Linked DNA regions of Mytilus edulis. The protein of the gene in region 2 binds, or shares a complex with, the protein of the main gene of each other region. Links are inferred from orthologs where the notes say so. Each region holds a gene or a part of one and is shown on either strand. Other genes may lie near its edges.

Region 1 (7,946 bases), on a different chromosome or scaffold from region 2:
TTTCATACAGCAAACCTTTCCCCTTTTCACTGAATTATGAAAATGAGGTCAAGGACAAATGACAGATGGAAACTTTGTAATACAAGTCATCTGCATACAAGTTAAGAAGCATCTAGGTCTTCTTTCTTCTGAAATATAAAGATTTTAACAGATAGTTAACTGGCCATCACCAGATTATAATCCATATCTCTCATTCTGACACTTTTTTGGCAGTCAAAACACAAAATAAAATGTCCTAATCATCACATTAGGGGCTATAACTCCAATGAGTCAATTTAAGATTTCAGTCATGTATGCATTTATAGAGCCTTTTTTGTGATCAGTCTTGCTGTTTATATCTCTTTAATCTATCTATCATCATGATTATATCATTATTTTTATACGACCCCAAAACAATTTTGGGTTCGTATAATGGTATGATGTCATCGTCGTCCGAAGACACTTTGGTTTCCGGATAATAACTTTAGTTTAAGTGATTAGATCTTAATGAAATTTTTACAGAAGGTTCAATACCACAAAAGGAAGGTTGGGATTTATTTTTGGGATGATGGTCCAAACCGTTTAGGAATAAGGGGCCCAAAAGGGGCCAAAACAAGCATTTTTCTAGTTTCAGGATAATAACTTGTTTACCATTGTTTACCAGTATTTCAATTGCTCTGAAAGTATACTGCAATGTTTAAAATCACAAGTAGAAGGTTTGGATTCATTTAAGGGGTTATGGGGCCAAAGTTTAAGAATTAAGGGCCAAAATAAGCATTTTTCTAGTTTCCAGACAATACCTTGTGTGTAATTGCATGGATCGCTCTGAAATTGTACCACAATGTACCATATAACAAAGGGGAGGCTGGGATTAAGTTTTGGGTTAATTGCCCAAAATATGTAGGAATTAAGGGCCAAAAAGAAGCATGTTTCTAGTTTCCAAACAATCATGACAATAACTTGTGTTTAAGTGTATGGATCTCTGAAATCGTAATACAAGGTTCAATATTACAAAGGAAAGCATGGGATTGAGTTTAAGGGTTATTGCTCCAAGGGGGGTTTCAATAAATTGGGGGGGGATCTCAGTTTACCATTTATTGTAAGGGATTTTTTTTTTTTCAACATTTTATAAATTTCAAATTTTGAAAAGTTTCAATAAGAAATATTCAATTGCACAGTATTGTGCAATAGATGTGTTAGATCTTGAACCACATTAATTTTGTGGCAAAAACCTATATTATGTCAAAAATTTGATCACAATCAAAATTCAGACGGTATCAAGCTTGAATATTGTGACCAAATTTGCCCCAACTGTTCAGGGTTCGACCACTGGGGTCGTATAAAGCTGCGCCCTGTGGAGCACCTGGTTTAAGACAATGTTCTTGTGTTGTACTGATACATCACTGTCTCAGGTTAGGGGAAGGTTTGGCACCAGCCAATATGTACCCCACCACATTCTGTATGTGCTGTACCAAATCAGTTGTTGCTATATATCAAGATTTGTTTATATACATAAATCAGATCCTTAGTTTTCTCATTGAATTGGTTTTCATTTGTAATTTTGTTGCTTTTTATAGCTTACAATGTAATATAGTTTTGCTCATTTTTAAAGGCCTTACATTGATGATAGATCTACAGTTACTGTAAAAAATAAAAAAAATATTGTGAGGTTTTTTATTAATGTGATTAATACGACTGGGTGAGTGTTGCAATAATAAGACCTTGAATTTTGATAACAGAAACATAGATCTTCATGCAAATTTTTTTGTTATCGCAATAATTAAACATGCAACGTTGTCCATTTGTGAAAAATCGCAATAATAAATGCATCCCATAATTTCTGAATTTACAGTATTAACTTCTACATCCTTTGGTTTCTTTTAGAGATGTCTCAACTACACTTACCACACCCACTTCATTAATCATAATAACTCCAGATGGAAATTGACAGTTCTAAAAATTCAAAGTCTACAAATATAGTTTTTATTAATACTCATAAGGTGTCTAATAAAGACATGTAACCAGCTGTTCACACATTTACATCACTCTCTTCCAGCACACATATTTATATTCCACTTCATACACATATACACAAAATAAATCAGCATTATTTAACTTCACACTGGCTATAACAATTCTGCATATTAATTTGGTAATACTTTTACTAGTGTATCACAACCTTTCTTTGTATCAGTTTCATTACATAAAAAAATAACTGGGGTTAATGATCGTTAATATCAAGTAATAAATATCAAATTCTCACTTGATATGAAACCTATATTTATTTTTGAATGTTTTTTTAGATTTGAAGTAGACAGACAAAAATGAGTTAAAGATAGATTTCTGTTATTTTCTCAGGTAGTTTGATATATACACGTATATACATTGAAATAAAATGAAAACTCATAGAAACAAATTAACTTCAAACTTTATATATAGTTAAAAAATAAGATTAAGACCACTCGGAAATGAATTCATTAAATGTTGACACAGACATAATTGTGTCTAGCCCTTGCATTATTTTGACAGAAAAATGTAATGTTGAAATTCAAATAGGTGGGACTGTATTCTAGTTTACCAATTATCTTAATCACAAACTTTGTAGACAATAGAAAAAAAAACTAAGCTAAATAATTAATTTCATCGAGAATAAACGTATCACAGATAAAAATAAACAGGGGTTCCAATCTGATTAAAATAACAGTGGGTTCCTGTCCCAAATGCCTCTGGTATAAAGATAATCTGTGTTGCAAAGTAAATGCCATAAAAAATTATCCTCTTTTTCAAGAATATATCATTTTTTTCCCACCAATCATCCAGGTAGACCAACATTGTAGAAGCTACAATTCTAGGCAATATCAGATCCTATAAACATTCAGTTGCTTTTGCAACAGGTATTTGTAGGTCACAAAAAATCAGAACTGGCCTCTGTAAATTTCTTTGATTTTGTCATCAATATTTGTGAAATATTTGAGTTTTATGACAAGCTGTTTAGCTGCAGTTATGTCCCCTTCCTGAAAGGCTTTAGATACTTGACTTATGTTATCATCCAGTCTTTTCTTGTTTATTATTTCTATAGGTTTGAGTGACTCTGGAGAATCAGCATCAGCAATGTCTTCATTGATTTCCATGATTTCCATTAAGAATTCTTGATCAACATTACTATTCTGTTCCTCTATTGGGTGTCCAGTTTGTTCAAGCATGTATAATGCACGATTCAAAGGTTTAACCAAAGTACTGTAAGCTTTATTTACTAGGGATGACTGCTCTTCAAAAAGGATTTTTTCTTCCTGGAATGAATTTAGTATAATAAAATTGTTAACAGATTGAGAAACACACATACAAATCGTTAACAATATACACAAATAATTGAAGGAAGATATGGGGGCAAATGTCAATTTCAGGCCAGGAACAACAACCCAATAGAAAATTAAAACACAAAAATTGAAAACTAAAAGCAACAATGAATATTGTCTTAAGGAATCAAAAAATATAGAATACCATATATATGTATAAATAATTTGTCTAAACATTAGCCCAACAATTTTAGATTGGTAAATTTGCTTTTGTTCTTCCCTTGCCGGGAGATATCATGACGCCAAATCGCATTGCACTGAGACAGATGCGTTAGACGACTAGACCACCTAGCCTCTTAAAAAAAGAGTTTTCAGCGGCACAGTGTTACCTTTCTGTGATTTTCGATGGGGCCTGGGCGCTAGGCTATTGGTCCTAACTTTTGTTTGGCTGTTTATGTGTCGTGTATAGGAGTGGACAACATATAACAACTAACAAATAAACAGCTGAGCCTTGAGTGCATGATACGCCTGTTGCATTTTAAAACAATGAATTTCAATAAATTCTTCATGTCTTATCAGAGGGTTGTATAGGGGGTACCTTCATGACAAAGAACGGTAAAAGTTCTTGCCAAATGGTGTTAACAGTAATTTTTGGTGTATGGCGATAAAATGTACACCTTCTTTTAGACTATAAAAACATCGACTGATTTTGACAAATCACGGTAAAATTTTAACCAATTTGACACTAACGACAGCTGAAAATGGCTGTTTGACTCCTGACGTAAAAGGGCATTACTACCCTTATATCAAAAATTTGTGAAAAACTAAACATCTAAAGGGAAGTTACTTATTAGATATATACAACAGAGGCAGATTTTTTTGGGGGGGGCCCTTTTTGGAAAAAAATTTGGTAGCTTATATACTAGGGAATCACTGAAGCGTGACTGGAGCGGGCCCCCACTTACGGAAATTTCTGGATCCGCCAGTGAACAATTCACCAAAGTATTATGCAAATTGGTACAAGCATTTTTCAATTAATGACCAAAATGTTGAGGAAGGATGGACGGATAACAGTATACCATAATACCTGCCCTTAACCATGTAAACGGCCATATAAATGCGGGAACTTATTTAAAAAAAAATAGATTGACATATATGAGGAAAGAAATGCCCTTTACCGTCAGGTGTCAAACAGCCAAACATGAACTATTTACCTCTGATTTTAATGTGTGCTTGTCTGGATGCAGCAACTTTTGTAATTCTTTGTACTTTTGTGACAAGACTGCTGTGTCAACATCAAAACTATCACCTAAGCTCATTATTTCGAAATAAGACAATGAGTTGACTGATTGAACAACCCCACACTTGCAGAAAAATATGTCTTCCTTGGTATTTGTTGGTTTTCCACAACGCCAACATTCTCTATGTTGTAGACTATAATTCCTTCGATTTCGTAAGGAGGTTTTGACATAAAAGGTACCCTGGTGTAAACTTGGCGTATGACAATAAAAACTGTGGTATTGTCTAGTTCTTTGATTTGCTATAAAATGAATGTAACATATTTCTTTACTTGAAAATGTATTAATTTGTCTTATATTGGTAGATATCAAATTTTGAAAGGATTTTAATAACTTCATGGGCGCAGACATCTTGATTAACGCGAGAAATATCACGTGTCTTAATGCATTTGATAGAGCAGATATCGTGAGAATATGTTTTCATTTCTTCAAGCGGCAAGACAAGTGTTTGCAGTCTATAGTTTATAAGTATGTAATGGTATCGATATGATATCTAAAGTTCAGCTTTGGCTTAACACCTGTTTTACCTTCAACTCACAAATATGTTTGAAAACTGTATGAAAAGAATATTTCTAGAGATGTTTCGGCCACACTACCATTTCGTCCACAACCACAGGTCGTTTCGGTCACTACCAATTTTCGTCCCATTTCGTCAACAACCACAGGTCGTTTCGGCCACTACCATTTCGTCCACAGAATAGTTCGGCCATATTACAATTTCGGTACAGGTTGTTTCGAAGTCCAATCCCTTTGGCTTTGTTTGAATATTCATATAGACGTATTTACACTTGTATGCAAATTTGACTGCCAATTACTAAAATCACACAGGTTCCCGTGTACACACCTTTATTCTCAATTGAGGTCGTTTCGGCTACATTTCCAATTTCAGCGACAGTTGTTTGGGCCGAAGTTTCAAATTCAATCTAAATTATCTGACTTTTTGGCCCATTTATGGGCATTATATGTGTTTTCTGGTCTGTGCGTCCGCTCGTCTGTCCATTTGTCCTTTAATCCATTAGTCCGATTGTCCCGGATCAGGTTAAAGTTTTTGGTCGAGGTAGTTTTTTTATGAAGTTGAAGTCCAATCAAACTGAAACTTAATAAACATGTTCCCCATGATATGATCTTTCTAATTTTAATGCCAAATTAGAGATTTTTCCCATTTTCAAGGTCCACTGAACATAGAAAATGATAGTGCGGATGGGACATATTCTTGTTTTAATATGCATTATATGTCTTATATTAACAGGCGATAAGTTTGTACTTGAACTCATTAACCTTAGGTCTTGTCGGTTAATATTTCTCTTCTTTGGTATTTTCTCAACAATATGCCAGTTCGGAGATAAGGTAGTTAGTTGAATCTATCATTGTAGCCTCAAACACATGTTGCATGAACAGGTGAAAAGTTTTATTCTATACTGCACAAAATGTTTTGGGAATTAAAATCTAATAATATTTTTAATTTAATAAATGTATGCTAAATGTTTTAAAACTACAATTGTGATAAATTTATAGATCTTGAATACCCCATGGCACAATTAATATATGTATACAAACATGTGTAGCAATATTCTATTTATAGTTTGAATTAAAATTAAGTTGTCTATTTTTAGGTATGAGTAGAAAACAGACTCCCAGTGAGTTTTTGAAACAAATCATAGGCAGACCTGTTGTAGTTAAGCTGAATTCAGGTGTGGATTACAGAGGTATGACAATTTAAAGACAAATAGGACTTCATTATTTTCCGCTTTTTATTTTCATAGTTTTTGAGTCACCTATTGTAGACAATACTGATACTAAACTGAATGTTTTATTTATTAGGGCCCAGCCAAAGGCGGGTCACCCTATAGTGATCAGTCTGTCCGTCCGTCCATAACACTTTGTGTCGGCTCCATATCTAGAGAACCGTTATGATTTCATACTTAATACTTTACATGTTTATTAACCACCACCAGAGGGCGTGTCATGATGTATGTACAACTTCCTAGGTCAAAGGTCAAGGTAAAAAAAAAATGGTTTCAATTGACAACCCTGTGTCCTGTGGTGAAGATCGTGTCCGCTCTGTATCTTGAGAACCGTTATGATTTCAAAGTTTATACTTGACATGTATATGAACCAACACCAGAGGGTGTGTCATAATTTATGAACGACTGCCTAGGGCAAAGTTCAAGGTCAAAAACTTTGGTTTCAGTTGACAACCCCATGTCCTATGGTAAAGATCCTGTCCGCTCTATATCTTGAGAACCATTATCATTTCAAAGTTTTTACTTGACATGTTTATAAACCAACACCAAAGGGTGTGTCATAATTTATTTACAACTTCCTAGGTCAAAGGTCAAGGTCAAAAACTTTGATTTCAGTTGACAAACCCATGTCCTATGGTAAAGATCCTGTCCGCTCTATATCTTGAGAACCGTTATCATTTCAAAGTTTATACTTGACATGTTTATAAACCAACACCAAAGGGTGTGTCATAATTTATTTACAACTTCCTAGGTCAAAGGTCAAGGTCAAAAACTTTGATTTCAGTTGACAAACCCATGTCCTATGGTAAATATACAATTTTTTAATGCATATTATTCACAGCGGGGCCCACAGAGATGGCTCCCATCTCAATGATATCTAGTTAGTATGTATATGTATATTGATGTTTATTTTTAAGAACCCTTTTAAGTACAGTATATGAATTTAAGGAAATGAGAGTACACTCCAATGTATGAATGAGACACTGAGCAAACTATTGACACAACAATCTTATAGAGGAATCCACATCCCAATCTTTTTAATTTGTAAATATTAGTAGCTATGAACAAAAATTCTTGTTTTCAGTAACCCTGAATTTATTGAATATTTTTATGAACTTTTTATTCTGAATACTTCTACTTCTACCAATACGCGGCCACCATCAATAAGTTGATTATTTTGCGCATTTAAAATTTATTTAGACAAAAATAATTAATTAATTAAATTGAATTTGTGCTATACAACATATATACAGTGAATTTAATACTATAAGATAATTTTGAAAGCTAGAAATTAATAGAAGTTCACTATTTGTAAAGGTATAATTCTGATTTTTTTTAAATTACTAGGTGTCTTAGCTTGCTTGGATGGATATATGAACATTGCTTTGGAACAAACAGAAGAATATGTGAATGGACAGCTGAAAAACAAATATGGAGATGCCTTCATTAGGGGAAATAATGGTAGGTTTTTGTCTTGCCTTAACTGAGTCAAAAAGCAAGAGGCAGTTATGCTGTTTCTGGTGGTAGGAATGTAAACTATGTGTTAGTTTGAAATTATGTCAGTTTATGGGGAACCACAAAAAAAAAAAAAAAATTTAAAAGTTTGATCTTCAGATCAGTAGTTGTCA
Region 2 (7,298 bases):
TGAAGTATATTTGATGAAATAATTTGTCTCTGGCATCTGAATACAGGTCACATTCAAAAAGGTAGTGTTGTACATTTTCTTTTTGTTTGCAGTGATGACAGGTTTCCGTGTCGATGTGCTGGTTTATTATAAATTGGTATGCATTTAATTTAGAATAACCTGTTCGTAAACTGTTGATTATGTTGTACATTTTTTTTGACGGGAAGTCTTTTTTAACTTTATCTTTAACTTCAGGATGAAATCTGAAATAGTGACGTCCAGTATCAATATTTTCCCATCTGCGTTGCCATTTTTTTGTAACAGAATTTCTTGCTGCTTTTTTTACATCTTGTTTTGTAAACACTATATCATCAATGGCTAGTGTTTCTGCTTCTTTAGCAGCTTCTTTTGCCAAGGAGTCTGCCTCGTCATTTCCTTTTATGTTGGCATGTCCTGGTGTCCAGTTTAAGTTTATTAAAAATCCATGTTCGTTTAAATTTTTTATTTTCCCTTTGATTTCGTTAATGGTTTGATGATAGCTGTCACTTTTCCAATTGAGAGTTAAGATACCTAATGCTGTCTGACTGTCCGAAAATAAAGTTAAAGTATTAATTTGCTCTTTTGAAAAAGATTCTATGTAATCCAGAACCATTTTTATTGCTATAAGTTCAGCTAGCAAGATTGAGCCTTTGTTAGAGACAGGTCTTTTTAATTTTTCTTCTTTATCATTAATGTAAATTATAGCTCCTGCACCGCAGGGGCCTGGATTTCCTAAACATGACCCATCTGTAAAAGCAACTGCTGTGTTTGGTGTTTGAGATTGGAGTTGTTCCGAGATGATTTGTTTTCCTTCCTCTATTTGGGCTGTTGTTCTGGATTTTGAGCTGCCTATGTTACGCCAGTAGTCAGGGGCTCTAATGACTGATACTAGACCTTGGTATTCATACTGCGGTTCTATCTTGTCTATATCAACCAATTCTGTATCTTTCATATCTTCAGTTTGTTGGTACATTTTTCCTAGTGGTGATATATATTTTTCTGGATTTTTCTCCTCTTTCCAAATTTCAAATTTTCTTTTAATTGGGATATTATTACTAAAAGAATTAATTTTTCCTAACTCTCTGATGGCCATTTCCTCTCTTCTTAAATCTATTGGTAATGTTCCACTAAGTACTTCTAATGCTTCAAGGGATGATTGAGATGGTAGATCTAAACACAATGCTAAACCTTTTCTTTGTATTTCATTTAATTTGTCTAAATGACTTGAAGTGCTGGATTGCCAAATACTACTAGCATAATTAAAAATTGAACATACTAAGCTGTCATATATTTGAATGAGTGTCTTTGTTGGTATTAATGCTATTCCCTTGATTTCTCTTATAATTCCTAAAGATCTTTTGGCTTTCTTTACTGTAGATTCTATGTGACTATTGAAATTTAGTTGTTCATCTAATTTTAATCCAAGTATAACTGGATTAGGGTTGTATTTTAGAATTGTGTTTCCAAGCTTTAGTTTGATATTTTGGACTTTATTTTTTTCTTTACTGAAAATACTGTACTCTGTTTTTTGAATGCTAAGTTTCATTCTCCAATCATTGCTCCATTTTTGTACTTGATTGAGATCTTTTTGCAGTTTTTCTTGTATAACTTTTGGATCTGAATGTGAGTGCCAAATAGTTGCATCATCTGCAAACTTACAGCAGTCTGCAGACACGGATTTAAAAATATCTTTTATAAAAATATTAAACAGGATTGGGGAGATAACAGATCCTTGTGGCAGACCAATACTTGTTTGAAACCAAGGACTTTTGTAATTGTTCACCATACATCTAGCTTCTCGGTGACTGAGGAAGGCATTAATCCACATCCACATTTTACCTTTGATGCCGTCATTGTACAACTTTACCATTAAACCCTCTCTCCAAACGCTATCATAAGCTTTTTCAAAATCGATAAAAATGACAATAGTGGTTTTGTCTTTGTTAAATCCATTAAAAATAGCTTGTGTTAAAGATAATAAGGCATTTGTTGTACCTCTAAAATGTCGAAAACCTTCTTGTTCTTGGTCCATGATGTTGTTCATTTCTACAAATCCTTCTAACCTGTATGTTATAATTCTTTCCATTAATTTTGCCACTACACTAGTTAAGCTGATAGGTCTGTAAGATGATGGTAAATTGTAATTTGGTTTATATAATTTTTTTATAAATTTGACATTTGCTCTTCTCCAATTTAATGGTATAATTCCTTCTTCCCATGACTGGTTAATGATGTCCAAAAGTTTGGACTTTAATTCGCTTCCACCATTGATGAAAAGTTCAGTAAAAAAGAAGTCTGGACCTGGTGCTGATTCTTTTTTTAATTTAAAAATGGATCCTTCTAACTCTTCCATTGTAATATAATCATTGTACTTGATGTTATCTGTATTTTCTTCTTGATTAGAAGTACTAATGCTGATGTATTGCTGTGTGATGTCATCATAGAATTGTTGATTAAAATTATTTGCTTTTAAATGGTAACCTTCAAAGAAGGTATTTTTCAGGATGTTAGATTTTTCTGATTCAGTGAAAAGAATATTTCCATTATTTCCTTGCAATGGATGTACTAAATTTTCAGATTTCTTTTTAGTTAATTTTTTGAAATTTGACCATTTTTCCCTTAAAGATTTTGCTTCTCCAATTTTTTCACACAAGTCTTCAGACCATTTATTTTGGGCATCTTTTTTTGTCATTTCAAAATCATTTTCTGCTTTTGCAACATTTTCAAAATTTTCTGGTGTACTTCTTAATTTAAATTTCTTTTGAGCTTTGTTTAGTTTTCCTTTCATTTCTCTGATATCATCATTCCACCATGGGGGGTGTTGTATTATCGTCTTTTTCTTTGGTTTGACTAAGGGGATGCATTTTGTCATACAGTTTGTTAAAGTTTCTTCAAATCTGTTGTAGTTATTTTCTATATTTTCATTTTGTGGAAAGGATAATTTTGAAAATGAGTCTTTTGCTGTTTCTTTCCATGCATTCCAATCACATTTTTTGATATTCCAATATTCCTCTTCTGATGTATTTTCTTCGTGAGGATTACCTGCATTAAAATCTAACAATACTGCAATATGGTCTGATTGTACCTTTTCATGAGTTAGGGTTACACAATTTTTAACATCATTAAATAGATGCCTTGAAATTAGAAATAAGTCTATTACAGAACTACTTGCTCTTCTTGTAGCCTGATCATCATTAACACAAATCAGCTTAGATGTTGTCATACATTGTTCTAGTAATTCTCCATGTTTATTTTCAACTGCATTGTTCCATTCGAAGGATTTAGCATTTAGATCACCTACCAATATTAAATTGTTTAAATTTTGTTGTTCAATATGTGTACAAAGCTTTTTCATTAACTCTGGTTTTTCTGGTGGGATGTACGGATGAAATGTTTTGTTTTTGCTGTCTTTTACCTCGATACTGACCATTTCAATGTCTTTTAGTTCCAAATGTTCCTGTCTTTGTCCTATGAAATGATTGCTTGGCTTTAAAAATATTGCAGATCCTCCCCTTGCTTTATTTGGTCTAGGTGATGTTATTGGTTTCCAATAACCAAATGAGAGTGGATTTTTTTCAGATTCAAAGGATTCATTAATACATAAGATGTCAACATTATATTTTTCACAAATTTCTTTGAGTCCAGTTGCTGTTTTAAAAGATTGAGTATTAAGGAAAAGGATTTTCATGTTGAATATATATATATGGTTAGATACAGTTTTTAAATTTATGTTGGTTGATAAATCTGATGAAGGCTGGACAGTGAGATGATGACGATTTATGATTTTGTTGACAGTTTCTACAGGTAGCTGGCTTTGTACAGAAAGTTTCTGAGCAGGAATTTGATCCACAGTTGTGACAATGTTTTTTGTCCTGGCACTGGTTAGCAGGATGGCCAAGACACTGACAATTATAGCATCTAATAAACTTGATGTTTCTTTTCTTTTCAACTTTGATTTTCTGAGTGATGTTATTAGAAACATTGGCAATTTCTATGTCTATATATATATTTTGTTCCACTTTTTTCTTTTTTTACATATTTAACTTTTATTCGTATTTGATGTTTTCTTTACAATAAGTAAACAGTTTACCATATTTAGTTATTTTGACACTTTATCGCTAATTCTTCTTCTTCTTCTTACGTAAATCCCTCCAATATTGGAGCACTTGGAAATAAATCCAATATAATTATATTGTTAATCGAGAACTAATACAAGGCAAAATCCGGTTCATAAATTCCGGAATTGGTTTACTAATTATCAGAATTATACAAATGCAATGACGTACTTCACATCCACATATCGGCATGGCGGCGAACGAACTGAGCACGAAATTAAAAAGTTCATCAAGAGCGATATTAAAGCGTACTCATGTACCAGAAACTGTCCAAGAAGACGATGACAACCCCATGAAATCAATTCTTAAAAAAAATAAAAAGCCAAAACTCGATTCATCTGTCGAAGAGCATTCAAAGGCACAACAAGAGCCTACACAAAAATCGGGATCTCGTATTGCCAGCCAGGTGACAGTTGTCAGTGACCAGAAACTAACAGACTCGTCATCTAAGGTTGAAAAATCTCCTAGTCAACAAAAAAACAAGCCAATTTCAGACAATAGACAGTCTGATGTAATCCAACCTAAAAGAAACGAAGACCCTTCAGATGTTGCTAAAAGTGGAATAAGTCCAGATAAAGCTGTAGGCAGTGAAAAATCAAGAAAAGAAGTAAAAAAAGAGATAACTGCTGCTGAAAAATCTGGAAAATCTGACAAAAAGAGTGAAAAGAAGGAGAAAGAGAAGGTGAAAAAAGGAAAGGGTACAGAATCCAAATCATCAGCAGATAAAAAGCAGTCACCAATAAAAAGTACAAGTAAAAAGACAACAGTGAAGATTGAAGAAGAAGATGAGGAAATAGGTATATTAAAAAGGTCTTTTATTGGTAAAACTTAAAAAATGATATATATATGGTAAGGGGTTTCATAACATCCTCATAAGGCTCCCAAAAAATTGTCTGTTTACGGTTACTCAACCCACCCTGCTTTCGAACTCTGACCCTTAGTCATTTTATTTCTGTTGTAAAGTGAAAAAGTTATTGAACTTAAACCCAAGTTAGACATTGCTTGAGTTGCCAATGAATGAATTCAATAGTCCATTTGCCAATTACCGATTTGATTCTGTTATTGCACACTTTTTAAACAAATTACTTCCCTTTGTCAATCGTAGACTGGTTCCATACCGGACAAAATTGGCTATTGCCAATGCAAAGCATGACGAATTGAAAGTTATGTATCAGTGGTATAACTAATTTTTCATGATTGATGTCAAATTTTTTTATCTTAACAACAAATTAATGTACTTAAAAGATCAGGAAACATTAAAGATTACTCACATTACACACAGGTAAATTTGCTCTTTCTGTTACATTGTAGCACTCCATTGTAAATAAAAATTAATGTCCCCCTGTCACACATGTTTATAGAAAGATTGATTGATTGTTGGTTGCTTTACTCTGCATGATTTATAGATAGATAATTATGATAAACATATATATTGTAGCGGCAATACAGGACCCTAAAGTTGACAGAAGCAGAATCTGTCCTTATTTGGACACTATTAATAGGTAAGAACAAATATTATTCTACTTTCCATAAACAATATTTTATGTCTAGAAGTGGCAAGAAAAAAAACAACAATCAAAATATTCAGGTGATTTATCTTCAATAAAAAAATCTATACAAAATTCATCATTTTGCTGATTTTAATTGAAGTATTGGTCATGTTTGTAAAAATTTACAATGTACTGTAACTTATTGATTTCAAATTTTAATGTTTTTGGTTGAATGCTGTCCAGAAACCATTTATATGTTCACTGTTGGACAAGGGTAATAATGGTATACTTTTCAAGTTCTTTGATTGATTTTCATGTTCATTGTTTGACTCTGGAGATGTGTTGAAAGACAGACTCAGCAGTAGTTGTTTATGAATTATTGAACAACTATTTCAAAATTGAATTGTTTAGAAGGGGAAAAAAATAGTAGTAATGAATGAGAAGCATAATTTATACTTACAAGATTTTAACACTACAGGTTTATATTGATAAATTTTTTGTTTTAGATCTGTTCTTGATTTTGACTTTGAGAAGTTATGTTCTGTGTCCTTGTCCCACATCAATGTGTATGCATGCTTAGTATGTGGAAAATATTTCCAAGGTAAGTTTAACACACTATTATTTATCATAAATTCATAATATATATACTGTAATAGCATTTAGAACCTTTACTATTGCATATGAGATTTAAATTACCAGTTTCAGTTCTTGCACAGAAGTCTGTAGTAGAGGGGATTCATTATCATTTTCCAGAATATATAGTTTAGTTAAAAGTCGAGTCTACTCTAATTTTCATTGCAAATTTATATGGGGACGAAGTCCCCAATAACAGTAGAAAATTCAATTAAAAAAAAAATTCGGGAAAATTTCCCGAATTTTTCATTGTACTAATGAACTCAAAATCGTTCAAATTTTTTTTGTCGTGTTTTGAAATCCCGGACCTGCGCGGAAATGTACAATGTACTTCCTTTTTCCGGTCTCGTTTGTATGAAACTTTGAGTAAAATATATATTTATCAGTCTAGTATAAAATAGGAAGGAACGCGCAATACCAATTTCATTTTTATGCCCCACCTACGATAGTAGAGGGGCATTATGTTTTCTGGTCTGTGCGTCCGTCCGTCCGTCTGTCCCGCTTCAGGTTAAAGTTTTTGGTCGAGGTAGTTTTTGATGAAGTTGAAGTCCAATCGACTTCAAACTTGGTACACATGTTCCCTATGATATGATCTTTCTAATTTTAACCCTTTCGCGGCGAGTGTATCCTTGAGGATACACAATGCGCAGGGCGGATGTATCCTTGAGGATACACGATGCGCAGGGCGAGTGTATCTTTCAGGATACATAAATATTGTCCCAATAAAAGCCGCAATTTTACGCTATTTGCCGTTCTTAACAGTTGAAATCAATGTTTCTATTAAAATCTACGATATCTGAGGATATTATTTCAGTTCTTCAACAACATTAAAACATCGTGAAAGGTAAATAAATCAAATCGGAAAATTTTGTTTTCTAAAATTAGAACCGGAAACACGTTTTGAGGTCATGTGGGGTTTCAAAATGGCTCCTCTAGATAACGAGGAGTGGAAGTACAGCTGTTTTCTGTGTTTTGACGAAGCCCTTTATTATTCTTAGGTAGTTTTAACTATATAATAAAAATAAATGGTTCAATATATCTT

What was found. Proteins that work in one complex are often made in the same cells at the same time.
Region 1: ubiquitin carboxyl-terminal hydrolase 39-like (region 2) and U6 snRNA-associated Sm-like protein LSm6 share a complex: the UniProt entries of both Homo sapiens proteins name them as parts of the U4/U6-U5 tri-snRNP complex. The link is inferred for Mytilus edulis from reciprocal best matches to the Homo sapiens genes USP39 and LSM6.

Annotation. Positions count from the first base shown.
Region 1 is NC_092347.1:98,520,454-98,528,399, reverse strand, and holds the start of U6 snRNA-associated Sm-like protein LSm6, read left to right. Parts: upstream 1-4,934; 5' UTR 4,935-5,041; exon of another isoform or gene 5,042-5,189; intron 5,190-5,238; exon of another isoform or gene 5,239-6,186; 5' UTR 6,187-6,188; coding exon 6,189-6,279; intron 6,280-7,665; coding exon 7,666-7,779; intron 7,780-7,946. Other genes in the region: iron-sulfur cluster co-chaperone protein HscB-like, read right to left, coding at 2,895-3,269, 4,490-4,924. UniProt on the Homo sapiens protein: Plays a role in pre-mRNA splicing as component of the U4/U6-U5 tri-snRNP complex that is involved in spliceosome assembly, and as component of the precatalytic spliceosome (spliceosome B complex).
Region 2 is NC_092352.1:16,012,988-16,020,285, reverse strand, and holds the start of ubiquitin carboxyl-terminal hydrolase 39-like, read left to right. Parts: upstream 1-4,286; 5' UTR 4,287-4,323; coding exon 4,324-4,930; intron 4,931-5,571; coding exon 5,572-5,635; intron 5,636-6,129; coding exon 6,130-6,224; intron 6,225-7,298.